Styela clava: one gene and its partner. The protein of the gene in region 1 purifies or fractionates together with the protein of each later gene. This does not show direct contact. Links are inferred from orthologs where the notes say so. Each region holds a gene or a part of one and is shown on either strand. Other genes may lie near its edges. The genes, in order: nucleosome assembly protein 1-like 1 and histone H2B type 2-F-like.

What was found.
Region 2: the proteins of nucleosome assembly protein 1-like 1 (region 1) and histone H2B type 2-F-like fractionate together in Drosophila melanogaster (co-fractionation; 4 studies listed by BioGRID, with this or other methods). This does not show direct contact. The link is inferred for Styela clava from reciprocal best matches to the Drosophila melanogaster genes Nap1 and His2B:CG17949.

Annotation. Positions count from the first base shown.
Region 1 is NC_135257.1:688,376-706,510, reverse strand, and holds the start of nucleosome assembly protein 1-like 1, read right to left. Parts: upstream 7,919-18,135; 5' UTR 7,864-7,918; coding exon 7,734-7,863; intron 6,924-7,733; coding exon 6,821-6,923; intron 6,454-6,820; coding exon 6,312-6,453; intron 5,591-6,311; coding exon 5,474-5,590; intron 1,922-5,473; coding exon 1,876-1,921; intron 1,547-1,875; coding exon 1,404-1,546; intron 1,006-1,403; coding exon 866-1,005; intron 335-865; coding exon 189-334; intron 1-188.
Region 2 is NC_135264.1:9,948,295-9,964,877, reverse strand, and holds histone H2B type 2-F-like, read right to left. Parts: upstream 8,031-16,583; 5' UTR 7,840-8,030; coding exon 7,480-7,839; 3' UTR 6,411-7,479; downstream 1-6,410. Other genes in the region: PIN2/TERF1-interacting telomerase inhibitor 1-like, read right to left, coding at 2,056-2,235, 2,467-2,564, 2,765-2,830, 3,501-3,594, 3,816-3,908, 5,154-5,263, 5,538-5,556. UniProt on the Drosophila melanogaster protein: Core component of nucleosome. Nucleosomes wrap and compact DNA into chromatin, limiting DNA accessibility to the cellular machineries which require DNA as a template.

The DNA of each region.
Region 1 (18,135 bases):
GCTGCTCAATGTCTTATGTCTGATGCAGATATATTTTGAAATTACTCAATAATAAAACTTGTTGAAACTTAATCATGATATCATCAATCATTTCCCATTCCTAATATTGGACTTAAAAATGGCATATAAAATATTGTTGAAAATAGACTTGAAATTGATTAAATCCTGCAATAAAATCAAAATCTTACCTTCAGGTGGACTGAAAAAGTTGAAAAATGAATCGTTTGAGATTTGTTTGCTGACAGTACGAACAGTTCCTCTTCCCTTATGCTTTTGTTTCTTTTTGATAGTTTTAACCGTCACATTCTTCCCCTTTTTCCAATCTATTTTACACCTGTATATATTCAAGCAAACCTTTCGGACTGAAAATAGTCTTAACAAATTAAGATTTAATAGACATGACAAAACCATTTCATCCATCCATCACCCATTTGGGCTTGCATGTTAGTATCGTAATTGAACTTGAGTATCAAAAGGGTTAACTTCACACCTGGCAACTTTGAAAAAAGATTCGAGTACATGGTGACTCAAAAAAAACAGAAACCAAAAAATCCTTTATTAACACTTGAACTTCTGTTTCTGTATGATTGATTGTACCTAAAACCTTGCACAAAAGTTCACAGTCTCTCTAGAATATGTTCCAAATGATCTGGGTTGTTTTGTTAGATCACTCTGTTTCACAAGAATTATTCTACAACTAACTCAAAAAAATATCATCGCATGGGCAGACAGAGATCAGATTATTTGATTTGAGAAATCTTTCAGTAGAAATGTATGCCTGCGGGCAGATACAAAGCGTATAAAGCAAAATTATTCTGACCAGCAGTTAAATGAAAAATAGTACTATGATAAAAATTTGCATTACCCAGTGCAACTTGTTATTTCAGGTCCATCAAATGTGAAAGGATCTTTATCATCAGGCTGAGCACGTAATTTGTATAGTTTTTTCAATGAAGTGTTGGTGAAGTAGTCATTTGGTTCAAATAAGAACTCCAGAGTGAAAGCCTGTTAAACAAAATTCAATCAGTTAACAATCCACCGATTATATATCGATTTTTGGGTTGATCAGTAGGCCTATGCTATCTAATCGCTCCCGATCGCAGGATGATTTTCGTCGAGAAGCCAAGAAGATTATAAATTACCTTCACGATTGTCACTAACCACTAAAGATATGAGAGAATTTTATTGAATACAACGTGGCACCCACAGGTAAATTTTGAGAAATCGGCTGTTGCACACAAGAGTGTTGAGCAGTTTGAATAATTAGATGTTTAATTCAGGAATTAATAAAGTAATTATATTGATGAGACTGCAAAAAAACATGGGGCCAAAAATAACGAAAGCCTACCTATCCGAAAGATTGTCATTGTCAAGCCATACTGCCATCGACGATGCCTACTCACCATATGTTCATTCAGCTCTGAAAAACTAACTCTGATGTCTTTCAGTGATTTCAAAATAGGCTCATCATGATCTTGTATCATATCCTGGAGAACATCAGTACTTTTAAATATTGTCAACCAGAATTCTGGGATTCCTTTAATATCTGTAATCATAGTAAAATTGGAATGAACTATTTTAGACATTCAACTTAAATAATTAAAACAATCAAAGTGAAGCCTAGTCCTAACTTAAAACCAACTTGATGACACATATGAAGTAACATTAACTAAATAAGCACAATAACATGCCTAAGAATATGCAGATCAGGTAGGAAGTAGGTAGGAAGAAACTGAAAAACAGCTATACTTGATCTTAATGTTGTTTAACTCATTCTAAATTAGTGTCTGACCGACCAGAACAGACAGGACACCAAACACTATAATTAACGGTTGATTTGATAGCAAAATCGAATTTTAGTCCGCAAAGACATACCATCTATGATCTCCTCATCTCCATTTACTTTGTCTTCAACTGCTTTCTGTTTGAAATAAAATAAAATTATTTGTAATGGAAGAAATAAATAGACAACTAACAGTCAATTGGCTAACATTATACACATGCAGTATTACTAAAAAGTATATATATATTGCCAGAGAGAACACAAAGTCGCAGGCATATATCACATGATAACCAAGTTCGGTAACATTCTCAATCAAATGAAAGGTTGATGCTAATTGATTCCGGACAAATATTTCAAAAGAGAAGTTCCAGGACACTCAACATAAGTTTATTTCAAAGGAGAAATGAATTGTCTGAGAGTAATGTTTATGTAATTCAAGAAACATTACGCAATTACCAAGTAAATGTATTATTAGTCATGGAGTTGTTGGTTGGTAGAATTTCCAAATTTTAGGATTGAAGAGTTTGATATTTCACAAGCGGGTACTCTGTCTACATACATGCTTTTGACACAAACCTCTCCAGGGAATTTAAAATTTATTTTCTGCCTAAATCCCCAGAGTATTGTATATTAACAATAACTGAACACGTCAGATTCATATTTGAATACAAAGTGACATTCACTACATCATTTCCAAACCCGCCTGTCTGATTGAATTGGACAACTCAAAAGTGTAGGATGGACATCGAGGGCTGGGAAAGATTCTTATGAAGTAAAAAAAACGAAGCAGTTCAGTTCACCCTTGTGAATTCTTAAAATGGATCTGTTTTGGTTAAAAAAGAATTGTACACCAATAATGAACAAAATATTGATTTTATCAGTGGAACTTTTTCAATTCCATTTTCCAGTGTCGCCTAAAACTGTTACACAAGAACTACCCCAAATGCTAAAATTTATCAAATTAAAATTGAAAGTTTTAGCAAAAATATTGAAGGGTTGGATAATGCAAAAAATATTATATTCAAAATAGTTTCATCATATGATTTGCATAATGGTTTACCAAAATCCAAGGAAAAAAAATTATACAAAATTATGAAAAAAGCACCAATATGGTCATTATACCAAACAAAATCAATGTCATACATTCAAGCATTTATACTATCAAACTTTATTTTCAAACAATATACCTATATCTATTCCAAGAGATAAAAATGAGAATCAGTGAATCATTGGGATGGTTTTAATCAACTGTAGCCATTCAAAAGTTGACATAAACAATTTTAAATAATTTCTTGAGGAATTTGCATTTTAGCAATTGTTTATAGAACAGCCTGACAAAGTTCAGCCCATTTACATAATATTCCCAACTTTCTACATCATTTAACAAAGATGATTTTATTTTGTTAATTTGTATGATTGTATGATTTGTCTTTATTTAGCTTATTAATAATCAGTGACAACATTTATACATATAACTAAATTCCATACTGTTTCTTCTAAAATGGAATGTTTCTCAGCTTCGTATGTATCTGTAATGTACAGTTTATGGTGGTATGTGATGATAACTGATAAGTTACATGATTTCATATAAGTGGGTACAGATCTACCATTTATTTAGCAACCAAACCAACATAGTGTCACTGTCAGGTTAACGTTAGTCACATCTCACATAATTAAGGATTATTTTTATGCAAGATAAACACATAATTTACGGTTAGCAGATTCTTGTCACGAGTTTCTGATTGTTATTCAAACTGGTAAGCAATTAAAGACAAAAATTACTTTTCTGGAAACCATACAGTAGAAATAATTATTACTTTTGAACATCGAGAACCCAACATGATATACAATCTCAAGACCATAAAAGAATACTATACTTGCATATAAGCCTAGTTTAAAACTAAAAAAATGAGTTGCTCATTCGCGCCTAACTTTGATCACTTAAACAAAATGACATTATGCTAACTGAATACCAACAGCTACAACTCGAACCATGCTAAGTTCTCACAACAAGAGCGTGCGATTTGTAGGGTCGGCTTATATATGTGAATTTTTATAAATTCAACATATAGTGCCTCTTTTTAGGGGGTCGGCTTTTATGCCAGATCTGCGTAGATGCGAAGATATACGGTATATATGTTCAGTGGCGCAACCAGCGGGGAGGGGGGGTTACGGGGGTCGTGTCCCCCCCGTTTGAAATTCGTTTTTATTTTATTATTGTTCTACGTTCAAACAACGTGAAAACTACTTTTTTCCAGTGTCTTATCACCTCGACGTAATTTAACACCGCCCGACTTCAATCATACCTTTTTGCTGTTAGTTATGTAATAATCGCTATCCCCGCGTATATGTTTGTATTCGAATATGAGATATGTTACCTCAAAACTGAACGATGTTGTCATCAACGCCGGATGCCGACGAAATCCGCGATAGATATTAAATACTATTTGAGAGCTATTTTATACGCGCTAAATTACAAGAAATGAAAAAATTTCCTGTTATGTTCGGTCACTATCGAAACTGAGGATAAAAACAACTAATTAAGACACAATTTGCCGAGGACGCCTAAACCATCTCGACTAAGTTAAAATACACGATAAGAAAATATTTTCAATCAAAAACGTCCTCGAAATCTTATAAGTTCTTCAAGTTGGCGTTTATCGAAATTCTTTCACGTCAGCTGTAATATAGTGCCGAACCACACATGGACGACAACGCTAGGATATGTGCGCCATATTCAGGATTATTATAAACACGAAAAAACAGTATTTGAAGTTTGCGATATTAGAATTTAAATTCGATTTGGACATGCCTGCATTAAATTAGTCAGTTTTTAGTCGTTTTCCTAAAATTAGTTGTAAATCAATTATTTTAATTGTCATTATATCTTCTAGTGAGCTTCAGTTTAGTTTAGAATTTTTCTGGAGTTAGGGTCGGGGAAAGGTCCATTCGCAAGAAGTGCATTTTGTTTTTAGTCTTGACGAATTCACCCAACGAGCAAGTCGCGACACGAGGGAAACACTGGAATTTATTCAAGCCGTGTTTCACTATCCACGAGGCGCAAAGCGAGGGAAACGTTGAAAATAATTAACAGCTTTTCGTTAGCAATTCGCTGGAATGTAATGAACGGCATTTTGCTACCCACGAGGTGCAAGACATAGCGAAGCGCCGTTAATGAACGAGTGCAAGGTAAGCGAAAGGCTGGGATTTTATCGATGGTGTTTCCCTTTTAACCACGAGCAATTTATCGTGTTTCAGCGGGGCGACACCTAGTGGCGTTGCGACTTACGTCGTGGTTGCACTGTGTAAATTTCAGTCGGAACCCCCCGTTGAAAACCAGGGTAGATTGCCTCAAACAAATACAGATAAATGACAGAATAAAAAACACAAAGAATGTTCTGGCTTGATGATGACGATGACCATCCTAATCCTATAGGTTATAACCCATAAGTCGACTGCATAGAAATGGCATGAACTTGATCAATTTCAGTGTTGAGAGATGAGTGGATAGTGAAGCTGATTTCAGCATTTCTGATTACCAATTGATTCCAATGGTTTTGAATGTATTATATCACTAATTATCAAACTTATATATCGACATTGAACATTTGTTAATAATATCCAATTAGCAAAAAATTGTAATATGAAAATAATATCTTGTATTGCGATATAAAATATTGTTGCTCTCACCTCTTCATTTTTATTTTTCTTATTTTCTTTAGTATTTTCGTCTTCTTCTTCATCCTCACTATGCCACTCACACTCTGAATCAGTCGGCTCAATTTCTCCCTGAATAATGTCTCTCCTCTGAAAAGGTCAAATGATTGGAAAAACATTTAATTGAAAACAACTGTAATGTACATGACAACTGTCTATAAAAGAGATTCCTAACATCTGCTTATTTAGCAGCCCACGATAGGATGACATCGTTTGGAGTCTTACAACAATAACGACAGTTCTATTATTGACGTATAATAACAAGTGGCTTCCTGCAATGAGTTAAGTAGTGTTATAGTAAACTGTATATAATACTATATATAATATAATATATGATACTAATCTCCACTATTTAGGAATTAGATAATGGAAACATGATTATTTTAATAATAGTCCAATCTTCCAAACAGCATTTAATGAGGTGTTTATAAAAGTATTTTCGATTACAAACATACACTGAGTGAATTATATATTAGAATATTAGATTTGTTTTGAACAAACCTGCACTATTTATAAGCCAAACTACAAAAAAAAAAATAATTCAATGGAATTGTTACCTTTTTTATAGAAAACATTTATATTAGTACCTGATCAAAAAGCAATTATATTTTATCCGTGGTTTAAATATCTCTAAGTTCATAACCAATCGAAAATTTTCAAATTGAAATTTTTAATAAAATAGAATCAAGCAAACAAATATGGAACAAATTAGGTGGGCTATGCCAATGCAAAATCTCTGCAATGCAAACTTCTGAACTATCTTGAATCTTTTCATTTTGCAAGGAGTTCATATAAACAAAAAAAAACTTACCCTATCAAATAATGGTGCATAAATCGCCATATATTTTCTTTCTAATTCATGGACTTCCTCAAAAAATTTTGATTCAATATTCATTGACTTGACTTGAAGATTTTTCAAGGCATGTATCCGTCTTTTCACTACTTTAGGGAGGCTGAAAAATTACAGCAAAATGAAATTAAAATAACTGAAATGAAAATTTTTCCAATGATTGGAATGTAGGCTATGTAATAAACCTATTTATTTTATCAAATTTATATTCTACAATGGCCTACAAGAATATAAAGAAATTAAATGCTCTTGAAAATTCAGCACCCCAAAACACAGCACAGCAATTTTAATAGAAGTGCATAGGTAGCAAAACATTTCCGATGGCAACTAACTGAAGCATCGGTCCTTTGATACCTCGCAACACAAATTGCAAACATACATACATTCGAATACATTGAAAAGTAGATATACCCCGATTCTTTGAAAAAAGCATCTTTCCAGGGTCATTTACACTTTTTAACATACCGTACCTTTCAATATATCCTGATGAATTTCCAACCATATCTTCGATTCGATTTTGTAAAGCAGCTAAAACCTGTGGATTCTGCATCATCTCTGCGGTTATTTGACTTGCTGAAAAAAAAATACAAAACATGCCAAATTATGATAAACTTTATGAGAAGTATAAAATTGAAAATATGCTTTCCGATGATTCCTTTTTAAATGTAATTTTTTCTTAATTTTTCATTATTAAAGAAGTTGAAGATGACGGGGATGATATGGGATAAATCAACCAAGTCCAAGGATATTCATCAGAAAAGCTATATTCCCTTATCTGAACAATTTCAATAATACAGATATTAAACCATTCAACATCAGATTACATTTACAATAAATTTTATCAACTCAACTAACGGTGACAAAGTATTTGTTGAATAGAGGAAAGGTGAAAGCCTGAGCTTATTGGCTTGTAATTAATATTTAAGATCCTTATATCAGACATTTATGGTAAACTTGATGGGGAAAATTCAGAATGAGATCATAATCACAATTATATCAAAATAGCTTTCGTTTTGAAATATTCAGCGAAAGAACAATGGCACCAATTTTCACCCTACAAAGGAGGCGCAGTTCTTATTTATTACCATCAGGGGCAGCCCTGCCATTACAGCCGACATGCCGTGGTTACGGCAGCAAAATTTTATCTGCAGTTGGTTTTCAATTTGCTGCCGTGGTAACAGCAGCTCCCCACTGGTTTGTGGCAGCTACAAAGTCAGTCGCCATGGTTTTGTGGCAGCTTCAGACGCCACGAAATACTTGAAACTGCAATTGCTTCAAAGGCAGCTTTTAAGGAACAATCAAAATTCATATCCTTCGGGACATACACTTTAAAACACAACATAAAATTTCAGTGTCATTTTCAACAATGATTTACATATTTACCTGAAGGCATCGACTGTGGCGTTTCATCTGCATTCAAAGTAGCTGATTCATCATCAACTTCTGTCTCCGGTTTTTCCTCATCGTGTTCCACAACATCTTTATCAGATGTTTTCGCATCTCCTGATGACATGTTGTTGTAAATATTTTATGAACTATGAACTATCAAAACCAGCAAAAGCTATTTCTGTATTTACATAATATAAAGTTTGAAAAACATTATTACATGTGTTAGAGATTCTGTGAAGTAATAGTTTGATCACTAAATCTAATTAACACTTGCCACTTATCTTTTTGCAAAATTTGCTGTGCAGGCCTGCACAACATACGGCCCCCGGGCCGCATACGACCCGCTAGATACTTCTGTGCAGCCCACGGTTGATTTGGAAACACGCCACTTCTCTGGTCTAACAATCAAAATCGGCATTGTTATGCAAGCGCACCGCTACTCTGATCATATTCGAAATCGTGAGAATTATGTTTTGCACTAGTTTCAATAAATATCAAACTTTGTGTGAAATTGGTGTGCCCTTCGTGACCCCTAAAATTTGCCGCTCGACCCCTCGCCCCCCAGTTTGGGTAACCCTGATTTAGATATCTCAGTATTCAGATTGAATCACGCTTAAAACAATTTCGGTATACAATCTCAGACCCATTAGAGCATATTAGCAACCTATTAATAAGCCCCCTATTTTTTAATAAGTTTATGAAACTGAAGTTTCTTTTTTGATTCAAATTAAAAACTTGAAAAACAATTCCTTCATTTATGAACGGTATAGAAATTCTCGTACAAAAGATTTTGCTATTTACTGTAAAATTTCAAATAAATTGGAGCAGATTTTGTAGAAACATGTAATTTAACAGTCAAAAAAGTACGGGTCTGGTATAGTTTAGTACCACATGTACTTCTAGTTGACCTGGCTCAACAATTTTTGCATATGTCAATCCTAACCCCCACCTGACTACGTCACCGAAAAATTACGCCATTTCGTCACAGTGCAGCAGTGGCGTAATAAGGCCCACCGAAGTATGCGGATGGTCGTCCGAAACGCGCAGACGATCACCCGAAATCGAGCAATCAATTTCTCCCGTTTTCTCGTCACAACGATCACAATAGGAGAGAGATCGCCGGCTTTAGCAAGTTCGTTATCGGCGGCGCAGATGTCATTTCGGGCGATCGTAATTATACTTTGGCAATCCCTATGATGTTATGGTGACGTCGTAGTGACGTAATTCTTGGATGGCCCAGTCAGGTGGGGGTTAGGAATAGCATAAGCAAAATTCGTTATGCTATGCCCACCGGAAGTACTTGTGGTACTAAACTATACTAGACCCAAAAGTACAACAGAGGATGATCTATTGCTACTGAACGGATTGTTTGTCTAGCCCAGGGCTACTCAACTATTTTTACCGAAGATCCGCATCCAAAACTGCAAAAATATTTGGGTCCGGTCTTTTCCAGAAATTATATTTCGACATCCTTAAACACACACTTCAGCACTTCCTCTGCAGACTAATGATTATTAACTATTCAAGATTGTTTATTATGGCGTTATACTGGTACCGCCGTACCGGTAGTTCTTTCCATATAGGCCTATATTTAAATCTATAAAAGTTATTTTTTACAAAAGGAAACTTCAAAAGTGGGGCTAATAATCCAAAATGAAGAATTACTGAATTAGGCGTGGTCGAATGACGAATACCCGAAAGGTCCGGATTCAGACCGCCAGTTGAGTAGCCCCGGTCTAGCCTACAATGGAAATATCCAATATTGCAGTAATGGTAGATATTTTTACCGGTACTGTCTCATTACAAATAGAGTCATAGGGCAGCGGACCGAGAATTAAAATTGAATTTATCTTACTGTGGTACCGGTACGTAGCAGTACGCAGTACCGTAGCCTGTGGGTATAGTACGGTGGTATGGTTTGATTGTGTAGGTACGGTACCGGTACCGGTACGTCATTGACTTCCCCTGTTCTCGTAGCTACCACACAACAGTCCTACACTTGATATTTCATGAACAGCGATAAAAACCTCAAAGATTTGTGAATTCTAAAAATGTTCAAAAAAAAATTCGCTTAATAGATTTCGGTACCGGTACGGTAGGTCTACCGTAGTACCCGCACTTGATGCGAACGCCAGGACAAGAACACAAAACAATGAGCAGCATATGGAAATCTACACACAGACTGAGTCTGATATTTGTATTCACCATTACCTGATTGTGCCATGTGTCCTCGCACGCATGTGAAAATCAATGAAGTGTTAATAGCCAGAATATTCTTACACGAATCTAGCAATGTAGATGCCGACCAGGAAAGTCCCCAGTCTTCAATTTCACTGAGAGCAAGAAATCGCGCCAAAAATATACCCTTCTCGTTGCCTATTTTGCACCCCGCCATTCCATTCTCAATCTGTTTCAATTTTTGTTCAATACCTTACTTACTAGGTAGTGTTACTTAGACACAACTCGCACAGTTTGAATCAGGGTTGCCAGATCCCAGCGATCAAAAAAAGCCAAATCAGGACATAAAAAAAGCCAGAAAAAGCCAAAAATTTTACTAAGTACAAAAACCCCATAATTCAGTAATTTGTCAGATTTTAAGCTCTTGGAACAATACTGATGATGATGTAGAGCCATCAGTTCATTCAGTGCGCCACACAATTGTCTTTTCCCATTGAAAGTTGTTTTTTCGGTTGCTATCATGGCGATTTACCCTTCAGCGGGATGAAGGGTTTATAAGTAAAAAGGATTATTTGAACGAAAGAACCAGAATCGACATTCAACACAACACAGTCAAGCTGACATCTATATGAAACAATTTAAAAGAATCAAAAAACCAAATAAAAATAAATATTAAAACGGACAGCATTATTTTACCATTCAATATATACAGATATACAATACAGGGTACCGTTTCAGTATGTGATATACCTACATTTTCGAAATTTTAGAATTTATAAACCATCAATTTTATTAAAAACTATCTAACCACGTGCCGCTTACAGGTGGACTACTAATAGCTAATTCAGTAATTTTTACTGTAGTTAATCACATCGTTCGTGAGACAAAATTTTGATTACTGCAATTTAACTAAAGCTTCACATCAGGCATAATGAAAATTAAGTTATAACACCATTTTTGAAAACGGAACTTAAAACTGACAAACAACACGCAAAACTATAAAAACGAGGCAAGGTTTACAAACCTGCTTGAACATCTGTCTGAGCGGCAGCAGAAACTGCAAGTATTTCTTATTGGGTAGGTATGGTTAAGCGTTAAGGTAATGAACTGGGAAATCGACGCTCGGGGAAAGCCTAATGTTAAGTACCGTACCAGTACCGGTAATAGGCTATTGTTACACACTAAATATTGTATTTCATATGATTTTAATAATAGACACTAGACTGGACTTGAAAAAAGCCAAAAAAAACGCCAAAAAGCCAAACGGAAATTCTGACGCCAAACGTGTTTGAAAAAAGCCAAAAATGGCAAATTTGGCGTTAAAAAAGCCAATCTGGCAACCCTGGTTTGAATAGTTTATAATTACATTTTTCATAATGAACCTTTCCCCGAGCATCGACTTCCTTGTTTACTTCGTGACATTGGCCAACCAGCAAGATGCAAAAAGTGACGTAACAATGCTCCCTTTTCGTATCCGCTCAGACACTTTTCTCACTCAGACAAATTTTCAGGCGTGGTCGTAAACATTACCTCGTTTTCGCGTTTTTGGACACGTTTAGTGGCCACAACGACCGTTTCAATATTATGTTGTTGTTGTTGTTGTTCTTGTTCTTTGACACGTTTTTAAAAAGTCGCTTTTCTCTTCGAATACTGGACCAATTGCTTTGAAATTTTCAGTGGTTAACGATTAATTTTTTCGCTAGAAGGCTGTCACTTTTATTTATTTCAAAATTTTGCGTGAATTCTATGAATTTGATATTTCGTCTAAAATTTTGCTGTATTATTTTTTATCCATGGGAACACGGATTTTAGTCAGTGTCATGACTGGCTGTACGTTTTGATTCTGCAAAATTCTTGCTACTGGAAATTCAGAACTTTTTTGAGGGTACCGGTAGCGTCAAAGGTACCGGTAAGGACTGATTCGCTCTGGTCTAACGTGTCCATATATTTGTGCGTAGCTCTCTTGTTTTAACTCTATTCGTTCGTTTTCAGTTGTGTTTCGGAAATTTAAATATAAATCAGATAATTCATTGATCCCTCCGTCTTCTTAGGAGTTTTAATTTAATTGCAGTAATAAACAAATTAGTGTAGATATAACTGTGATAGGGTAGGCTAAAATTCTTTACCGGTACTTTTAAAAAACAGATTGTTGTATGCCATGAATCATAATGATTGTTCAAAACAAATCCCCCATTTTACAGCGCCAACTCGCGAAACCACTTATAAAATAAGCCCCGAAATTTTTGCAATGATAAAGTATAGGAAGAGTTTTCCGGGGGTCAAAGGTCGGGGAAATACATACTAATGATTGATAATGGAATCAGATTGTTCAATCATGCGATGAATTTTGTGATTTTGATTTTAGTGCACTTCTTTCAACCAAAAAACTTTGTCCCTTTAGACCAGGGGTCACCAAACTGCGGGTCGGATCCGGCCCGCGGCGTCATTTTATCCGGCCCTCCCACAATAACACGCAAAAATGGCTAAATTTTTTACCGATGGAGATTTTCCCCATCATCGTCTTCCTTGTTTATTTCGTAACATTGGCCAATCAGCAAGATGCAAAAAAGTGACGTAATAATAGGTCTTTTCGCATCCTCTCAGACACTTTTGTCACCCTGACAGATTTTCAGTCGTGGTTGTGAACAATACTTCGTTTTTGCGGCTTTGAATGCTATTCCTTAGTTTTTGGTTGTGTTTCGGAAATTGGAGTATGAATCAAATAAGTCAATCATCATTTGCCTCCTTAGGAGTTGTAGTTTTAATAGTATAGTAATGAAAAATTAGTCTAGAAACAGCTGTGACAAAATAGGCTAAAATTCTCTACCGGCACGCAACGTTTTATAAAAAGTTTAAGAAAAAGTTTTATAAAAACGGTCAAGAAATAACGGAGATATCGGAATTTTAGTACCGCCCGACACGCCAATTATTTCCATAAGGATTGTATTACTTTTTTGATAAGAACTGTAATAAATATAAAAAAGAACACTTATCAATCACCAATCTTTCGATGTGCGTCACATCAATGGAATATTGAGACTATTTCAGGATTTTATTCTGGCAACGGTGATTGACACCGCCGAAAGATCGTCGCAAATAAACGCTGGAGTTGTGCATGATAGTTTGACAGTGGTTAATTGTGGGTTATAATTAACGATGTTCTGATTGTACAAACTTCATAAAAATTGGTAAGTATCAAGTTAGGCAAGAAATACACACGTCCATATAAATTTTATTGGTGTCCATAGACAATATCATTAATTTGTACTACGTATAACTGGAGCGTAATTTTTAAAAGCTCCGAATGTTGGAAAATTTATGCGCTAATGGAAAAATTCAAATACCAGATAATAGGTATTTATTTTATCTCAATTATGGAATTCCAAGATACAGCAGGCAATTCGTAGTCATTTTTATGAGCGGTATTCCAACACGGCGTAACGGTAATAGGCAGACGTGTTGCGTACATTTTTTGGCGCGAAAAAGCGGATTTTGTAACATTTCTAATTCATGACAGCAACGTTTTAATAACAGCTAAACTGAGGATAGTTGTCTAGATATAAAAATCTTGTATATTTGTTTTCCTGAGATGTTCTCGATCTTTATTCTGCGATATAGATAGAATTTAATACTCAAGTCTTCAGAAATATATAGTAGAATATATATTGTTGAATGGATTTCCCAACTTTTGTGAATTTATTGTATTGCATTGACAAAAATATTCATCCGGGCCGTTTCAACACAGTTTGAGTCATACCCGGCCCGCGGTCAAAAAAGTTTGGTGACCCCTGCTTTACACATATACAATTCCTTGTGTAGAATCGTAGTAGTATATATTTACGGTAGAATGGATTAAATATTTCACAAATTCATGTATATCAACTTTTGGAACAAAGCTGAGATCTTTTCAAAGAATTTTTTTTATAAAGCTGTAGTTCGAAATAATGTACTATATGGATTTAGACTACTGGGAACAAAACTTTCAAAATAATATATTGAAACCTTTTTGGATTTATTTTAATATTGTCCAATCACCAGGAAATTTTGGTCTCAGATAGACCCATGGATTGCTTTTATGACAGAAAACTTGGATTTTCATCTTGGAATGGAAGAACAAGAATGTCTTATAACAGTGGTCGGTCCGAGGAGTGATATAATCCGGCCCGCGACGATTCACTGAATTATAGTGATAAAACAGCTGTTTGGACGAATATATTCTTTACGTAACCGAATTTATTGTTATTATTTATTGTATTATATTATAACCTAACAAGTATATAATTCACAATTCCTCGTTTAATGAGCTTATAATTTATTTATAAGTAGACAAATGGCAACAAAAAGCAAAAAAAGTTGATGCTAAGTGCAAAGGGTTCAATGGCGCGAAAAATATTCAAATGGAATTTTTTGAGAAGCAATGCAATGAGGAAATAAATCTATAAATCTTGGCTTCATCCAGTAAAATACTGATACACAATAGAAAATGACATTTATTCATATACTCATTGATTATTTGGCTTTAACCTGACAACTGCGTTATTGTTTTTTATTATTATTTATCGTTTATTTATAATCTTTATGTAACATATATATGAAAAATGGGAGATTTTCCTAATTTTTTTTTCATGTTTTTTCGGATATAAGTTGAATTAAAACTGTACTGTTATGTGTGCATTATGAAAAAGAAAATATTCTTATGTTTGTATTATTGATCAATATTATTTATTTCCATATTATTTATTTTATAAAATTCGATAAAAAAATTAAAAAAAAAGTTCACCTTCAAATTCGAGACTATATATATATCTAATACGGTAGTTTAGTATCCATACCATGCTAAAAAAGCGACAGTTATGTAGACGGAAAAACTAGGTGGACATTTTCCTGTCCGCTTAATTATTATTATATATATATATATATAAATTGGGTATTTGATAAATTTGTATGCCACACTTAGGTGGCTAGATAGGTGGACATTTGAGATATCCATTTTGTGTAATGTTTCTATATATAATTTCAGAATTTTGTTTCAATTGTTTTATGCCACACTTAGGTGGTCGGATAGGTGGGCATTTAGGATATACATTTTGTGTAATGTTTCTTAATATAATTTCAGAAATTTGTTTCAATTGTTGTATGCCACACTTAGGTGGTCGGATAGGTGGACATCTAAGATATACATTTTGTGGAATGTTTCTCAATATAATGTCAGAATTTTGTTTCAATTGTTGTATTCCACACATAGGTGGACGTTTAAGATATACATTTTGTGTAATGTTTCTCAATATGATTTCAGAATTTTATTTAAATTTTGTGTATGCCACACTTAGGTGACCGCAGTGGTGAGCTGTAGCCGGAACGCACCGGAACGGCGTTCCGGTTGTTGGACATTTTGCTGCATTTTTTTTTTGAGTTCCTTTTTTTGAAATTATGGTACAAAAAGTCCAGTTTCTCTGGTAATCATAGTTATTAATTTATGTTTTGTTACATCATATTAAGTCTTTGCAAATGCAAATAATTAGTACAGCAGAAACGTGTATTAGATGATTCCCCGACCTTTAACCCCACGAATATTCATTCTATACCTTTTTAATAATAAGATTTGTATTGAATTGCTATGAATACTCTTGTAATTTTACACGAACATGTTTCATATAACTTCTTCACAGTTCATTGCTGTTCTGTAAACGTCCGCGTCATGTTGTGAATATATTACATTTTTGCAAATTAGGTGCGTTCCGGTTGTTACGATTTTTCCAGCTCATCACTGGGTGACCAGATAGGTGGACATTAGAGATATACTTTGTGTAATGTTTCTCAATATGATATCAGAATTTTTATTTTAATTTTCGTATGCCACACTTAAGTGCAGGATAGGTGGACGTGTGGGATATATTTTGTGTAATGTTTCTCAATAATATTTCGGATTTTCGTATGCCAAACTTAACTGGCCGGATAGGTGGACATGTGGGATATATTTTGTGCAATGTTTCTCGATATGTTTCAGAGTATTCATTTTTATTGTTGTATGCCACACTTGGGTGGTCGGATAGGTGGACATTTGAGATATTGTAGCGAATGTGCATTGTGTAACTATGGATTATAATGTATTTAACCCTTTCATATTAATAGCATGTAATATTTCACAAAATAGGCCGCATTATGTTTCGCAACAGCGATAATGCATTCGCTCCCTGTATTGCCTTTCTCGTTTCGACCAATTTGATAACGTATCGTTTCCGGTTTGCCGAGAATGCTCTATAATATTGTGTTTCTTGTTTCACTCGATATATGACTTGTGATCTGACCGTAATCTTACTGCATTAGGAATTCGGTGTATACAATTTTATCTGTATTTGGAATTTGGATCGTGCATCTTTTCAATAATATACAACAATTCGACAATCATCATCGTGTGCTTATTATCGTCTGAGGAAATCCAGATTGGAGTCACATTCCATAACACGTGAAATTAATAACGTGGGAATCGAACTTTGAATATTAGGGTGAACAGTCTTTATCCCTAAGACCGCACTTCGTTTCCCTATAGTATTTTTTGTGTAATGTTTGTCAATAGGATTCAAGATTTTTTTTAATTGTTGTATGCCACACTTAGGTGGCCGGATAGATGGACATTTGAGATATATTTTGTGTAATGTTTCTCAATCGGGCTGGTGTTCATTTTTCAATTACGTGCCACAATTGAGTTACCGGATAAATGAACATTTGAAATCCAATTTGTGTGATGTTTGTCCTCATTAATGACATACCAGAATTCCCTTTTAAATTTTTTTGTATAACTTGAGAGGCCGCATAGGTGGACATTTGAGATAAAGTTTGTGTGATATTTCTTCAATATTATTTGCATTTCCGAATTTCATTCTGCAGAGATATAATTTTTTTTATTATTCCTCAATATTATTAGCATTTGCATATTTTATTTTACTATTATACTCCACACATCCTTCTCAAAATAATATTTCTCACTTTAGCAATTTGGTGACACGTTTGAAATATATTTTGCGTATTGTTTCTCAATATGATTGGCATTTCGAAATTTTGTTTTTTAATTATATGTCACGTTTAATAACTAGTCATATAGATATGCGGGCTTTCGAGATGTATTTTGCGCAATGTTTATCAATATTATTGGAATGCCATAATTTTGTCTTTGTATGTAGCATCTGTTTTATCCATATATTGAACTATAGCGTTGGAATAGGCGAACATTAGTGATAAGCTCTGTGTATTTCTCAGTTTCAAATATATAATACTTCGGATCAATTTGTTTCGCTTTTGTACCTTCACGTTGCATTTTGAGTATTTTTTGACATGGAAGATTATTTTTAACACCAAACACAGTGCATCTCCCTTGTACGACAGACTGAATATTAAAAAAACGCTATTTTCTGTGATAAATATTGCTGAATGGTTCGAATCCATCAGAAATTAAAGCGAGGTCATACACTTTAAAATGTGTAGTACTAACATGAAACATTTACATTTATAGATGCCAAATAAACAATTTGCTATTATTAACAATTTCCGCACATGAATAAGTGTTTGTTTTGCACTAAAAAGTTATTTTCAAAAGCAACATCATTTATGTAGACATTCAGGGTGACATATAAGAGAGGTCCGGCTTAGCGGCGAAATAGGCTAAAATATTTGGAGGTCTGAATTAGGTGGACCAATTGAGCGGACAAAATTTTTATATCTGTTATCGAGAGGATTGTGTTGACTGTTTTTTTCGTAATTGTCAACGGCTCTCGCGCTCTCCGTGCACGTATTTAGAAACAGTGGTACGGACACACGACGACGTCCGCTTATTAAATACTGCAATTATGACAGGTCTGTTTAACTACCGTAATAGAGTTATATATATACTATTAACATATTTATATTGTTTCAATATAATCAAATACCACTTTGCCGCCAACGTTTGCCAGTACTAATGAACCTGCTGCACTCGAAAACCTGTTTGATTTTGACGCAGTATCAGTTTTGCTGCTTGCTTTATATATATATTTGTAGTTTAAACAATTCAGACAATAGAAGACAAATGAACCATCGTACATTCCTCAAGACTCTGCAATTATTCATTAGTGTCCCACACACCAAAAATAAAACCAATGATTTGATAGAGTCATAGGGTTTATTTTTGTTATTACAGATTTGATTGAGAGAGGGGTTCATTTTTTCCCCAACCAGAAAATAA
Region 2 (16,583 bases), on another chromosome or scaffold:
TACAGATTAAAAATGTCAGATTCTATGCCCACCCAGGGGCGGACACCCGGGGGGGCGAGGGGGGGCGGTCGCCCCCCCAATAATTTCGCAAAAAAAATTAATACATGTTGTTTCCGCCTTACAAAATTATCATTTCCGAAAAGTGCGATAGTCAAGCGCAATTAAACGGTTAATAGTCACCGATATTATAACTGTTTTCTCACAATAATGTGGACCAGAGCGTCTTCGGAGCACCTCACATTTTCGTGAAACATGCGCGCCCGCACGGGTAATACTCCGTCTTCAAACGCACCGCCGATCACGCGCCACGGTTTTGCACAACTAATTCATTTTTGTACAATTTAATATGATTTCCTCATTGACAAAATCTTTCAATAGTGTTATTGTTGGCACTTGCGAGAGAAGTGAAAGAGGCAAACTGTGTTTCATTACAACAGTTAATTATTATCGCTAAAAAATTAACTAGATCTAAAGTTGTTATAAACAATTTTCACCGCTGGACGTATATTTTCACGTTATGGATTTCGTGCAAGGCCCAGCATAATTTGCGGGCAAAGATCAAAGCATTTACTATGTCGAAAAGTTGAAAAGCGGCAATATAAAATACTAAAAATAAAACTGTAAACAATATAGGTTTTGTTGAGGCCCGCGACAGTCTAAAAACGCTTTTCTCGGCATCGAAAATCGCAAAATTTCACAAATTATGTTTGCTTGACCTTTAAAAACATTTCGTCACTAAAATCGAAACACGGTCAATTGTGAGCGGGATTTGCCTTTTTATCCATTACTTTTAAATTGACGTCGAAAATTTTCGTGTTAACATTAAACAAAGCTGACAACGCGACTTTTCCCCGGTTTGTGATGATATATAAGATAATTAAAGTATATTCGATCCCTTTTTATATTTATTTATGTATTTTTATTGTACTGAAATAACTTTTACTACGTGAGAATTGACAAAAAAGTTATGGATTTTTCGAAAGGTTTTATCTTTAAAAATAATCGAAGTGACAACATTGCGATTGGTGCCAGTGTTACAAGTAAATCTCAAATTTATCGAATTCGCAAAATAGCAAAAATACGGATCAAAACAATATATAAACGGGCAGTTTACCACACATTTTTATGTCCGCGGATTGCCGTCGTGTGTTAGAATGGCTCTTGTTTTGTCGACTCAACCGTAGTTTAAATTGAAGACAATTAAAATAATAAATCAAGACATTTTGAATATGCCCGTATCGGTCTTCGATTGATTACTTTGCACAAGTGAAAAATCATTTTTCGTTGATAAAGTCGGCTCTTTTAACAAGTGGCGTAATCGCGGCGACTGTTCCGCGTGGATTTCGAGGCGGTGAATTTGTATTTTTGATTTACTAGTATACTTTATAATTATTTTCATTGTATGAAGTAAAATTAACTATATGGGATTTTATACCAGATATCGAGATTTTTGTAACGGCGATAACGAGTTCGGAAGATTGCAAAAATAGGTATCAAAATTAAATACATCAGGCAGCTTATCTCATATTTTTATTTCCCCATATCGCCGTGGTACTTTAGTTTAGTAATATTTTTATTTTGACCTAAGAAGTCGCAACCGCGAGTTACGCTGCACACAATTAAATTAATATATAAGGACATTTTAGAATCTCGTGGCTCTCATGGATCGACAGAAAAAACATTATACGCTTAAATAGGCGGCTCTTTTAACTAGCGCGTAATCGCGGTGCTTGTTGCAGACGGCAATGGGATGTTCCGACCTCAAATTTGTTATTTTCTGTTTGTTAGCAAAAGCCGTGGGCTAATTCTCGCGGAATTCAAGAAATTGGTTCAGTGACGCGCAAGTTCCGTGTCCGAGCAAAGCAGCCTAGGTAATCGATATATGAGTAGCAAAATGACATGCTAATACTTAGAGAATGACATCGACAGGTTACTGTTACGTGACGATACACGGCGCGGTGTTTTTCGGTAGGCGATCCAATTTCGCCCCCCCAAAATTATGGAAAGTGTCCGCCCCTGTGCCCACCACCTAATGAATTGTTTTTACTACGTTACCTTCTTTTTAATTGCAGCCATTCTTAGTGCAAAATATTCTTGCACACTTATTGTAGAAGTTACATGATTGGTTGCATTATTTTTTGGGGATTCTTTTTCAGTAGTTTTCTTTTTTTTTGATTTCTTCTTTTTCTTGCTTTCTGGGCAGGATGAAGTGCTGTCTGCATCAGATATTTCATCCTACATGAATCAGAAATAAAGATTTCGCGATCAGCAACAACACAAAAAATCAGTGTTTCCAAAATTGATAATATTTTTATGTTTGAAGCGAATTTGATACAAGAGAATTTTCTTTCAGATATAAATATCGAAAATTTTTTAGGTTTTTATCCATTATAGTACACTTACTCTGAATTAAAAAAGCCAAGAAACATATCAATGGCCCAACCCCAATGTTTAAAAAATAATCACCTCTGACAAATTGATAGGTGTAACAGGCTCACTCTTGGATGCTGTTTTTCCAAATATTGCTGCAAGATCAGTCTCTTTGTAATTGGAAAGGTCTTTACCTAGAAAATAACAACAATCCAGTGTGAAAATGGTGTGATAAAATGGATAGTCTATGCCGAACTGGGAAGATTAATTTCCTTTCAAATAATAGTAGCTACTTAAATATCCCGAGATATCAGGGCCTTGTTTTGGGGCAAAAGGCACGTTTATGACACTTGAAAATTAGCTGATATATTATTCTTCTCTATTTTTACCATACCTCTTGCAAATTTGTGATAATGTACTCTCTTTTGTGATTTAGATTTCTTTTCAAGGCTGGAGACACCTGTGGAATAAACAAAAATGATGTATATATATAGGGACGATATAATATAACGATCTTATCAGCTTCTATTCTTCTTGACAAAAATAAGAAAATCTAACTTATTCTAGTACTTTATAGATTACCTCTATCACTATTTTGGCTAGCAAAGTTAATTTTAAAACTTGTAGCAAAGGTGAAATGGGTAGCAATGCATTGTGTGGCATGCGACCTTGGATGTTTTGCAAATTTTTTTCTGCCTTCATATTACAGCAAACAAATTACTGGTTAACTTGATCACATTGTTTTAATAGGAAGGCACATTAGTACAAGTTGCATAGAAAATGTTTGAAATAGAAATTTTTAATAATAAAAATGACCTGTTTTGTAACATATCATGATATACGAATATACTTCAATTTTATGCGAAAATGGAAGATTTCGAAGTGTTATTGTGAAAAGTGATCTTGTTTGATCAACATAGATTTTTGAATACAACAAAATGGTGTAAACAAAACTCATAAATGATATCAAATTTATAGTTGGTCATGAAGCAAGACTGCAATACATTCATTTTTTTCTGATTTTTTTTATCCCATCTTCAAATTGCCATACAAGTATTGAGGCAAAGTGATTGTTATTTATAGTACATAATCTCAAAAATATGAATAAATAATTAAGTTCTCGAATATACCATTCATGTTTTTCACGTCAGTTTGATCGGAGTGATGATTGTTCAATTGTGCTAGTAAATCTGCAAAGTCATCCTGATGAGCAACCCAATTTTGCTGTCAAATAGGAATTCAAATGAAATATTCAAAATATAACTATTAAACATTATAGGGGTTCAATTATTGTATTAGCTTTCCGGAGAAAGATATAAACATGTGATTTGGTGATCTACTAGTCTGAATATAAGTTACCTAAACCTTCATCCTGGGACTGGCACCCTCCGCAGTGACTAACTACTCTAATTTTAACTATAAAATGAATGAAATTGTGAACCCACTTCTTGCTTTATCGAACATCCAACTCCACGATTATCATTTTTATGTTTAATTTTAATGTGTGCGATTCTCCCATCTTCATTCGCTCCCAGTCCCTGAAATATTTGGGAGCAAAGTAAAGAAAATGCTATTCATTACAGAAGATTGCAGAATTATATCATTCTATGATGATACTAATACGGGTCTTACTACTTACTGAATACAGCGCGAAACACCGCAAAGAGCGCAAAACAGCGCAAAATAGCGCGAAGCAGCGCAAAACAGAGGAAACCAGCGCGAAACAGAAGGAAACCAGCGCAAAACAGAAGGAAACCAGCGCAAAACAGAGGGAAACAGCGCAAAAAAGGAGACGCAGTCATTACCACCTCCTGCCACGAAAGAACCACGGCGCCTCTCGCCATGGTTTTATGGCGCTATTTCCGGCATATTTACAAGGTTATGTACCGGATTATAGGTCATCATGCGAAATTTTATCTACCTTTTTGGTGCTCCAGAAGTATGTGCAATATGTCGCACAACCAGAATCCGCTACACACACACACACACACATACAATTTCAGGTTGTGCGCCATCTTGGTGCACATACTTCTGGAGGTCCCCTTTTACCTAACCCTAACCCTAAAGCCAACCATATCCATATGGAAAATGTTCTAAATTATGGTACCCAAAATGTGTCACCAGCAGGGGCATACCTGCCATTACAGCATTACTGACTACATACGTTGGTTTGTGATTTTAATTTGCTGCCGTGGTACTCCAACTCAAAACAAGGTGCCCCGAACTCATTGCAAAATTTTTTTCTGCTTCACACTGTTTCCCTCTATTTCGCGCTGTTTTGCGCGGTTTCCACACTGTTTTCCTTTGTTTTGCGCTGTTTCGCGCTCTTTGCGGTGTTTCGCGCTGTATTCAGTAAGTACAGAAGTAGTAAGACCGTACTAATACTGCTGTTTGCATTTTCATCATTTTTGCAATAATACACAAAAAACTATTAAAAGTTGAACCAATGAAGTTAGATAATGGTAATGGAGTAAAAGGAAAATTGTTGATTTGATTCACTCAATAAAGGTCTCATCGAATTCTAGCACTGGTATTTACTATCGACGGCTATCCATCACTTTACACAAAATACACCTTCAAAACCAATTATCTATTTATGGTGGCATTATCACTGAGTCAATACGATAGTACTGTACCTATAGTACGGTACCGGTAACGATATGGCATATTCTAGTGCTGTAGTGCTGGTTGAAGTCAAAAAAATTATTAAATTTGTATACACAAAAATCATGAAATTGCAGAAAGAAAGATAAGCAGTTGACTGTGACCATACGGTACCGTACCTTGCCTTTGGTCCAACCCATTCTTTCAAGCATTTTCACACCAAATTTGTTTTCGTCTTTTGACCAGTTTGTGCCATTTGGGTCTATTGACCACTTTTTCTTATCTCGACCTGAAATATAAAAATATGTTAGAACGTTTAGAAGTTCAACTAGCCAAGACTACAATACACAAATCAAACAAATGCTGCATTTCATTTTCAAAAACTGGTTCTCCTCCAAGGTAAATCCTTACTGTACCTGTACCTACGGCACTGACTTAATTAAGTATATTTAACTAGGTCAAATGCTGGTACCCGGTACGCCGTTGTTTCAGTGTTTGTTTGTAGCCAACGCTAGAAATGAACATCACATGAAATTTTCGCTGAATAGCAAAAATCTACTTACTTTCTGCAAGCATTGACATGTTGTGAATCCCTGTCAGTCCTTTCGCTTGTTACAATCAACAACGCCGAAAACTAGGTAAAACGGACTATTTCGTGGACGTCCGCGCTTGCCAGCATGTGGTCATTGACTGTGCAGCGCTTCACATGTGGTTCGAGTCGTTTTCCGGTTACCTAGCATATTTGAAATCTGATGGTCTTGTTCGATTATGTGACTTTTATTATTATTATGATGATGCCTTCAGACACAATAAATTAGTGGAAATCATAAAAACGATCATTAAGTCAGCAGAGTTGGAACAATTACATTAATTCAGTTCAATTACAATTATTTACTCCCTTAAATGTTTCAATTACATTACAATTCCTCTGTGCAAAAAATATCAAATTACATTTACAATTATAACATTTTGGTTCGTATTCACATTTTCACTTGCTCAAAAACTGTCTGATTGCGCTTGATGAAGATTAGACAGCAAAAAGTTTCTGACCCCAATAAATTTCTTCTTGCCGTATAAAAGTTAAAAAAAACTCGTACTGACGAGGCTGCTGTTGCTGTTAGTCCCAAATAATTCTTGGCTAAAGAAGCAAGCGTGGGAAATTCTTCTTATTTATTTTCCAATACATTAATGAGTCTTCATCAAATTGCAGATTTTTTTCTCCCAAATATCTATCTACTTCACTTGATTTCCTTGGTCTTTTCTTTTTAAATCTTCTGCCATCGCTGAGAAGAAGTAGTCTAAAAAAATGACTTGTTAGGTGGTTGGCTATGATCAACCTTAGCCTTCATCGTGTTTTTCTGGTGTTTTCTTTTGAAATTCATATATTTAGGATATAGATGGGGATAACATCTCTTCAAGTGCGTGATCAAGTTTGACGAGCTTTGGTTGAGAACTTAACTTTCTTTTTGCAGTGATTACAGCATGCCTCAGTGCTGCTCAAAGATTTAAAAAAAAACTGACATTGGTGCAGGAAATGGTTCAACACAGATTTCGGAAGAGTTTGTTTGATGTTCATCTTTTCTTAAAATACCAAGATTTAGTCTATTTGAAAGTGTAATTGAGCCGAAATTTGAGCAAATTACAGTTACAATTACACAGAATGAAAATGCCTCCATTACATTACAATTACATGAAAAACTGTAATTAATTACATCAATTACAACTGATCCAACTCTGTAAGTCAGTTCGCTGAGTTGTCATAAACAAAGAGAAACATGTTTCATCCCCCGTGTTTCCCCGAAAATAAGATAGGGTCTTATTACAATTTTCTTTCGAAATATAACACTAGAGCTTATTTTTTATCAAAAACAAAATCACAAAGTAGAGAATTACGAGATTTCCCAATATACAATTGAAAACCAATATTCATTTACCTATAAATTACACGTTTTAGATAATCAACGTGTAGGGAAGATTCTTGTTGAGGACTAGGTCGAAAAAAAAATCGCGCCATCGACTAGGTCTCTCTCTAGGAGGGTTTATTTTCGGGGAAACATGGTAACTCGCTAGGAGGCGGGGGGCATGTCCGAATTGCACTTTAAAAATGCACGAGATGCAAGTCTGGGCGTGTTCCGAACCGACCGGAGGATAAATTGAAAGAAAAAAAAACGACGATCAAAACGTTCTGACGGGACATGGCATCGCAAAAAAATTGAGAAGGATTCACCTCTACCTTTGACGGAAAAAAACAAGATGGCGACGATTAGAAATGCCCAATCCTAATAGCAACGATAAAAGTAATACTGAGTACTGACAATGATAATAAAGAGGCATTGGAATTTCCATCGCTAGTAGGTATAAATGGTTAAAGTGATACATCCGCTAACCGTCCTGGCATAGGTGTCTTGATATTTATTTTTGCGGATCCGCTTACAATGGAAACATCTCGTTAAGTTTTGGGTGGCTCTAAAAAGAGCCGTTGTGATTGGCAAAACTTATAACAGCTTATTTGGAGCTGGTGTACTTTGTCACGGCCTTGGTTCCCTCAGAAACTGCGTGTTTTGCAAGTTCACCGGGAAGAAGCAAGCGAACTGCGGTTTGCACTTCGCGACTGCTGATGGTACGCCTTTTGTTGTAATGCGCAAGTCGAGAGGCCTCGCCACAGATTCTTTCGAACAGGTCGTTTACGAAAGAATTCATGATGTTCATGCTTCTCCTGGAGATGCCGGTGTCTGGGTGAACCTGCTTCAGAACTTTGTAGATGTAAATGCCGAAGCTTTCTTTGCGCTTCCTTCGAGCTTTCCTGGCATCCTTTTTGGCATTGACTTGTTTCACAACCTTCTTTGCTCCTTTTGTGGGGGCCATTTCCGCTATACGTGTTTGTATAATCAAAAACGAAGTATGACGGTAATCGGAGACATGCCTTATTTATAGGCTTTGGTATGCAAATTAGGGGTATTCTGAAGATTTGCTGAACTTTTCCCCGGGTGGTTTACGCGGCCGATAGTAGTCTTCGCCCACGCACATCTACCTTGAATGTTGTTCTTGATAAATATTTTTTTCAGGTTCGCGAGACATAGATTATTTCGATCACTCTATTTGTTACACATAAGATAAAATATAGAGATTTCTAGTTGTCAAGCCAAACCTCGCATCGAGTTCACTTACAAACACAAAAAACGCATGTAAACTATAAAGGATCAAATATCATAACAATGAAAAATACACGAAGATATCGTTTGGGCTGTTGTACATTAGAAACTTCATAACTAATAAGTTAAATTTTATCAATTAGCATCGTTATGTTTCCAGTTTTGGTTAGAATTGTTCAGCCTGCAGACGAGCACATCTAAAATATGCGTACAACTCGCATATAACTTTAATGAACTAAGACCATCGCACCAACTTAATCCAGAACCCTTGGCTGCTTATTTAAATTTTAAAATAAATCCGAAACTAAGCCAGTCAACCATTATGATATAATCTAAAGTTTTCATGTTCTACACTTTTGTTTGAAAAACTGTAAATAATAATATTGACTCTAGGAATTACAGTTCGAGGTTCAAGTATCAGTTGGGCTATAAGCAGTGGTGGGATTCAGCCGGTTCGCACCGTTTCTATAGAACCGTCTCACGGAATTTTATGAGATCAGCATACCGGTTAGCATTATTTAAAAAAACATGTAACAGAACCGGCCGAAAAATATGATTTTTGTGATGGAACCGGCTGACAAAAAATTTGAATCCCACCACTGGCTATAAGTTATAAAAAATAACCGACTTAAAAAAATTATAGTGTAGAATAGAGATGTACCGAGACCACTTTTGTCGCCGATACCGATCCGATACCAGCTAAAAAGGCCGATACTGATACGCCGATATTCAAAAACGACCGATATTCCGATATTATGTAACTATTAGGCTACCTCAAGTGTAATTTTTACCTTTCAGCCTTATTAATAGTGCACATTATTTCGGATCAAAAAAGAGTAATATATATATTTATATACATATCACACACATTAAGTAGTATTAAGAAGTAGATGTTTGAGATCCAAATGCGTTAATTGATTCAGATGCACTGGCGCTAGTAATCTCAGTGTTCAAATAGATTTATTAGAAAACTAATAGAATTTGGCTAATGTTGGTGGTAAAACAAATAAATGTTCAGCCTACTTACCGTATGAAACTGATACATTGAGTTACATGCGCAGGAAGGATTTTGTGCCAATATAACGTCATATTTTATATTTTAAATATTGGAGCATGCACTAATATTCGATCGATATATTTTTTCATAATTACCATGTAATATTAAAAATTTTGATATAAAAATTTGGCAGTGAAATTACTAAAATTGATTGAGCCAGTTTTGCTAATAAATGGCTAAAAACAGGTCAAAATCCGATTCCCGTTTCTACTAGCCGGGGTGGGGACGTGCATGGCTCATAGTTCACGACCTATCCAAGCAAAAAATAATTTCAAGATTAGTATTTTAACCTATTTTTTAAAACATTCTGGATCATATTATTGAGAAGCTAAATATATCGGAAATATCGGTCTAAATGTAGCCGATACCGATGCACTACCGAAAAATTGGCCGATACATCTCTAGTGTAAAATCGCGTGTCAGCAAATATCAATCCACGCGAGACTTAAAACAGCAGTTCTTACCAGTATGACATGAAAACAACTAGGAAGAGAAACTTAGCGCATAACTTCTCTGGGTCTGGCCAAAGCGTATATATAATATGAATTACTGTTCAAAAAAGCAACAAACCTGGTTAAAATATATTCAGGACTCACTTCATAACAAAATTAAAATTGTAAAGACTGTTACGTCACGATCCACAGGATCCAAGTATTATTGTTTGGCAATAATATTGTTGCCACGTGTAGGCGCTGTTAAGTCGAGTTCGCCGCCATTAATGGATATTGCACCATACTTTGCTGCTGTTTTGCTGCCAAGTCAAGTTTTTAAAGTTTCTTTGTGTTGGTATTATTGTGATTTAATTATTGCTGTTTATTGTGTTTATCTTGTAGATGACTTAGACATCTAAATTAGTTAGTAAGTGGATCTATTGGGTTGTTGCCCTTGGTGTTAAGATATTGAGCCGTACATTTGTTACTGTGAAGAAATTGTACTGATGTTTCCAGAATGTATTATGCAATGATTTTTGGGTAAGAATGCTAGTACTTTAAGTTGCATAATTTGAAGTTCACTGATGTATGTGTTTTCTTACCCGGTGTCATAAATATTATCGGTATGTTATTTATATTTGGATCATTGCTGAATTTGGTATTATTTAGTTTTATAAGTGTTCTAAGACATATTATTTTGTTTTAGAAAACCGTCTTCCATCTTTCATTTCCGTCTATTGTGATGTTTGTGTATTGCTGAGCATTTCATGTTATGCTTCGAATTACAATTTCATTACAAGTTTTCAACAATTGGTTGTGTTTGGACAAGGATTTGGGAGATGCGTTTTCGATTTGTTAGTTTTTCCTATGTGACGCCTTGTGCTACCGGGTCACGTTGAAAGGGAGGTTACAAAGACTTTATGGATACTGTGTATTAAAATTTTCCGCGACGCCCTAAGCGCGACTCTTATCGGGTCTTACGATCAAAAACGGCATTGTTATGCGTGCGCGCCGCTCCTCTGATCCGATGTATTCTATCGAAATCGTGACATTTATGTTTCGCCTTAATTTTTTAATTGTGGTTCGCATCAAAAGTCTAAAAAAGTACAATATATATGATACTTTGTGTGAAACTAGTGTACTCCTTGCGACGCCTAAAATTTATGGAAGCCATGAGTGCTAAAAGCCTCTGGAGGGAACCACGGGCTATAAAAGGTTTGGAACCACTGCTATACACAGTTAGGGTACGCTTCTTGTGGGGCAATCGGAATCATCTCGCACTATTCGTGTACCACCTGCTCAGGGAATTTTAACAAGTATATCGCGCTCATCTCCATTAGTTTTAAACTGTGAAATTGGCGATCAAGCGTTTCCATGCTACTTATTTCAACCTCTCGCGACATCCAAATGCATAATTCATGCGTAAATGCCCAGTTTCAAAGCCATTGCTGGGTCTGGCGAAGTAAACGCCGTAATTTCTAAGACGCCAAATAAAAATCTGATGCGAAAGGAGAGCCGAGTAAATACGGCGTGTAACGTTACTTCTTTTGGAGAGCAGACTACTGGTATTAATAGGCAGGCAATATCAATCATTGTTGTTCCAAAAATCGGATTAACAGCTTGTTAGATTGTGAGTGGCTCTGAAAAGAGCCGTTGTAATTGATAATCAGGTTTCTGTTTACTTGGAGCTGGTGTACTTTGTCACCGCCTTGGTTCCCTCCGAAACGGCGTGTTTTGCAAGTTCACCGGGAAGAAGCAGGCGAACTGCAGTTTGTACCTCGCGACTGCTGATGGTACGCCTCTTATTGTAATGTGCAAGTCGAGAAGCCTCGCCAGAGATTCTTTCGAACAAGTCGTTAACGAAAGAATTCATGATGTTCATGCTTCTCCTGGAGATGCCGGTGTCTGGGTGCACCTGCTTCAGAACTTTGTAGATGTAAATACCAAAGCTTTCCTTGCGCTTTCTGCGGTATTTCCTGGTGTCCTTCTTGTTAGGGACCTGCTTCGCGACCCTCTTTGCTCCCTTTGTCGGTGCCATCGTAGTTCCTCGTGTTTGTAATATGTGAGACGAAGTGTGCTGGGTCAGGTTGACTTAGGATATTTATCCCATTAAATATGCAAATTAGATGAATGAATTGATGTCGATACTGCGCGAACTGCTATAGTTCATGACGTAACAATATACACGAATCCGTTAACCAATCGTATCGTAGCAGACGTGAACAAATAGCGCAGTGTAAATATTAAATTGGAAGTCTTCTAAGCAGACCTAAACGAAGTGGCCAAGGTAGTGTACATAATAAATTAAAAGTTTCCTCATACGTATTACTTTTTCATACATACTCTTTATCCGTTTCCGCAATGCACTATAATTCACGGATGGCGAACTGCTGACGAGCGGTTCCGAAAGCCGTGTGAAAAAAGTATCGCAAAATGTACTAACATTTCAGTAAGGTAATTATCAGTGAACGTTTATAATAAGGTCGGCAATTTAACGTTGTTTCCACGTTTATGTCATAACACCACAATCGGATTGTTTATTTACAGGTTAGCATATATTTGCGTCTGCTGTTCCAGTTTAAAACAGCACTTTCTTTCGGAGACGGATGAACCAGCAGAAGGTTTCAGGGAGTATCCATTATTGTACTCCTTAAAATTTTGTAAAAACTTCACAAACTAAGTTCGAACGACAGTAACGGAAAGTTAAGTTCATGCGTCTAGTCCGATCGTATCGCGTGCGCTGTGTTCACGTCCAAATCAAATACTACCATCTTCTTTTAATCGTATTTCAGTAACTTAAGATAGTACACGTAGAATGCTAATTCGTTCCTGCGCGTGTTACCTTGAATCGTTTCAAGTATTCAAGAAAAAAATTGATAGCGGCCTTGACTGATGAAACAACATACAGATCAAACATTTCTTATCTTCCGTGACCGTGAACTTGCCTTAAGGATGACAGATCAAACAATGACTATAAAAAGCTACCTTCCATAACAAATTAAATACAGTATATATCGGTATTTTCTAAATGAGATAACAGTAACGATTTCATAGCAATAAACAATGAGGGCAACGTCTTACAGTTTGACGTAAATGGGTTATGTAACGTGTCTTCCAACGTTACGCAACGAACCGCAAACGACGTGATGTATTTTTAAGCTCTTATCTTGAAACCTAAGTAAATAGTCGTGTATATAGTGTCTTGAATTTTATGTAATATACGGAAGAACAAAAGTTCGGATTGGGAGGGGTTGTATAGGTATAAATGCAAGTTTCTCTTATTAACGATCAGAAACTTTTTAATCTGGAAACGACGTAAAAACCATCTTGAAACAGAATTTTGTATTTATAAAAATAATTACTAATGGTGAAGAACCAACGTTGCATTTTAAAATATATCTAATCACTTCAGTTACATAATCACGCTGAATCAACCAAAAACATTACAATTGCTTTGAACATTTAAAGTATATATCATGAATTTCTTTTTAGAAAAACCGATAACAGATACAAACAAATTTTTGATTTAAACCATATTTGATCGTTATGGTAATTTAAATCTGTAATTGTTCATGCTGGATTATTTGACTCATCAACAATAATAACGTTCAATAAATCTCGTAACATTAAAAAATATGTATCGGCGATTAAAGGTAATTTCAGTGGCGCCAATAATTTCGCAAAGCATTTTTGCGGCCCGCGTCGTGGTTGATATTTTTCCAGAAAAAAAACTAGAATAGTATGATGTCAACTATGAGTTTCATCGTGTTATTTAACATCAAGAGTCCGGTACAACAAACTGCTAGAACTAAAACAAAAATTCCCCCGTCATTCCAATTTACCACGTTCATCTTTTATTCTATTGTAATAATTAAAGGACCTCCTGATTAAATTCTAAATTCAATCATTTCATTTCGCGTTTTTATTATGACGAAATAAACAAGTTTCGGTCAGATCATGGAAGTGTACAGTAGTGAATCATTTGTTGATTATGAATCATATGTGCAGTTAACGCAAAACTAGATTATTATAGTCTTATGGATCATTACACATGGAAAAATACTATGTTTATACTGAAACTATTCGTCACAAAAAGTTGTTTCATGTCTCGCTTGCTGTAAGATTCAAGGGTAATTTCAACAAATATATTCAGATTTACTTTGTTAATTTTTGTATAACAATTTTGGAACCTCCTAAAGTATGCGCATCAAGATGGCGCACAACCTAAACATAGCATGTGTGTACCGGTCAGGATTCAGGTTGTGCGACATCCTGGTGCGCATACTCCTGGGGCACCCAATTTTGTATATAATTTGATAGTTTTGCGGCCCACGTCGTCAATAAATTTCAAGAAGTGGCCCGCGACATATTTTGAGTTGGGTACCCCTGGTTCACGGCATCAATAACATTAATGATAAGGCTTATACATTTCAAAGCATTCTAATACGATTTAGATACGCCAGATAAAGTTGAGTCGTATTCTTCAGATATAAATCATAAGTTTTTTGGGTGGTTATATTTTTGACCGAATTAACTCAATCAACAACAGGAGTATTGACCTCAAGTTTGTGGTTTGACGTAAATTGGTTATATAATAAGAAATGTTACGCAAGGTTCGTTTTCATTGACCAACTTTCTGTAATCAAACCTTGTTTATGTTTTCTGCATAAAGTATATAATTCTATTTCCTATCGCTTGACGATCAATGAAAGTGCAAGATGGCGACCAGAGTTTCAAATAAGGTCGTCGAATTTGAAAATTTTATCTTTTTCCTAAGTTTTGAGAAAACACATCAAAAGAAAGTAAGCTAACCGGTTATATCGGGATCTATAGATTCTATAGTATTTATACACTGTATAAAACAAATATGTATCTTTGTTATGTGCGGGGTAGTGAGAGGTAGGAAATCGGAGCAAACTTATTAAAATTGCCGCGAAAATATAAATTGTCGAGAAACATGGGAATACATATTTTTTTTTTCATACGCACGCTGAAAATGTAAAAAAAAGAAAAATATTTTAACATTGAAATAAAAAAAAATAAGGCAATAACAAAAACATACTTCACCTAATAAACCGATGAATAAACTTTTGACGACAGGTCATGTATCACCTCATTGTTAACTTATTGTGACAAGTTCCGATTGAAAATTTGCATACGCGTATAATATGGCATTACGCCACAACAATAGGCACGTTATTGGACTTGTAAATTGTGCCTAATGATATGTATAACTTAAGGTTGGCTCACGACTTAATACGCAAAGAAGATTATAGACGTGATTTCTGTTATGAATACAGTTTTCTTCAAACGTGGATACAGATTGACACGTTTCATAATAGATTGCACAATAGAGATTGGATGACGTATAAGGACGGAAGAATACCGTATATAAACTATGATATATTTGTCTGTTTTTGATTCACAGTACTTGATAGACGTTTCCACTCGTGAATTGGGTCATACAATAAATATCTCATCGAAGGTCAGCACGTTCCAACAAAAATGTTATTTAGAGTTCCGACTAAACTTTATGTTCGAGGATAGGAGATATATCTGACCAACACCCTCGCTGGGAGCCGACTATAAGTCATGAGAAGTATTCCATCATTATTGCTTCAATAGCATCTCTATCAAATAGGAACATATATTTCGTATGGCCAGATCGTTGGTGTATAAAATTATATTTTTCGCATCTAGATCATTTCCGGCTTTTAGAGATACCATATATATTTCATATTACCTACGACCAGTAAGTGAATTTTGTGACGATTCTATACATATTTTACTTTACAGATTAATTTAATGTTAATGAAAATCAATTTCAAGGTCACACCTTGTTATGAAATAAAGTATTTCAAGATTTTGTTTGCTGTATGAAATTATTAAACATTGTATTAAAATCTTATGCAGGGTTTCCATCAAGATTGGGACAACTTGTAAATATGTAATTAAGTGAATTTACTGATTTTTCTGCAGTGTGTGTAATATCACGTGGCATGTTGCATAAAACGCATTGTTATGTATAAATCGTGTATGTCGATTAAAGACAGTGGACGACCTCGTGAGATTAATTGAAATATCAGTCGCGAAAGTATAAACATTACGGACTATATAACCACGTTTAGTAATCAAAAACCTGTCTAACAATTCGTACAATGCCGGGCTGTTGACTTGTTTTCTTGGCTTAGTAAAAAACGAACCAAGTTCACATGTGAACATCTGTTTTTTTCGAATAATATGTTCTTTTGCTATACAAGCATACGCTTTCCAAATCTCAGTATTCGTATAGACATACAACTGTTTGAGTTTTCAGAAATTAGTAAGGATTTATTTCTTAAATTAAGATAAGTAAAAGTAGCATAACCTAATTCAAGGTCTACTCAGATGAGGATGCAAGGAATTTAATCTAATTAATAGCAACAGCCAAGTTTTAGGAAAATAATATGCAAGAAGAAACTTGTTGGGTAGCAGTTTTTCGAGAACAAAATTTTACGTCAATGTAGATTCGACTTAGATTTAGAATTTTCGTAAAATTGATTGCAAGTCGTCGGTGTGGCGCTTCCTGCTAAGCGTTACTAACACTCTCGATACCGCGTCGCTGATTTCCCCGCGTGGTTCCGATCCCGTTTGGGATAACTAGCTACGAGAGGATTGTTGGACTCCTCGCCGTAGGGTGGTATGTTCGCGTAACCGCTGGTCGGTCACGGCTTCCTGCCTTATCATGTCCATGCATCTGAAACAAATTACTGGCCAACTAGTCCTATACCGGTCATGGACTTGTAACCGGGCAAGAAGCCGTGGTTTGCCATAGGATTGAACCGTCTGACCGGTCCTGCCCTCTCCTGGAATAATTATTTAAATCTTATGTATATTCAAGTTCTGAGCGGACGATTTTTTCCGAGAACGCATTATCGTCGCTCTCTACACCAATTCCGCATTCGCGCAAAAATCCGTTCCCGCAAACGT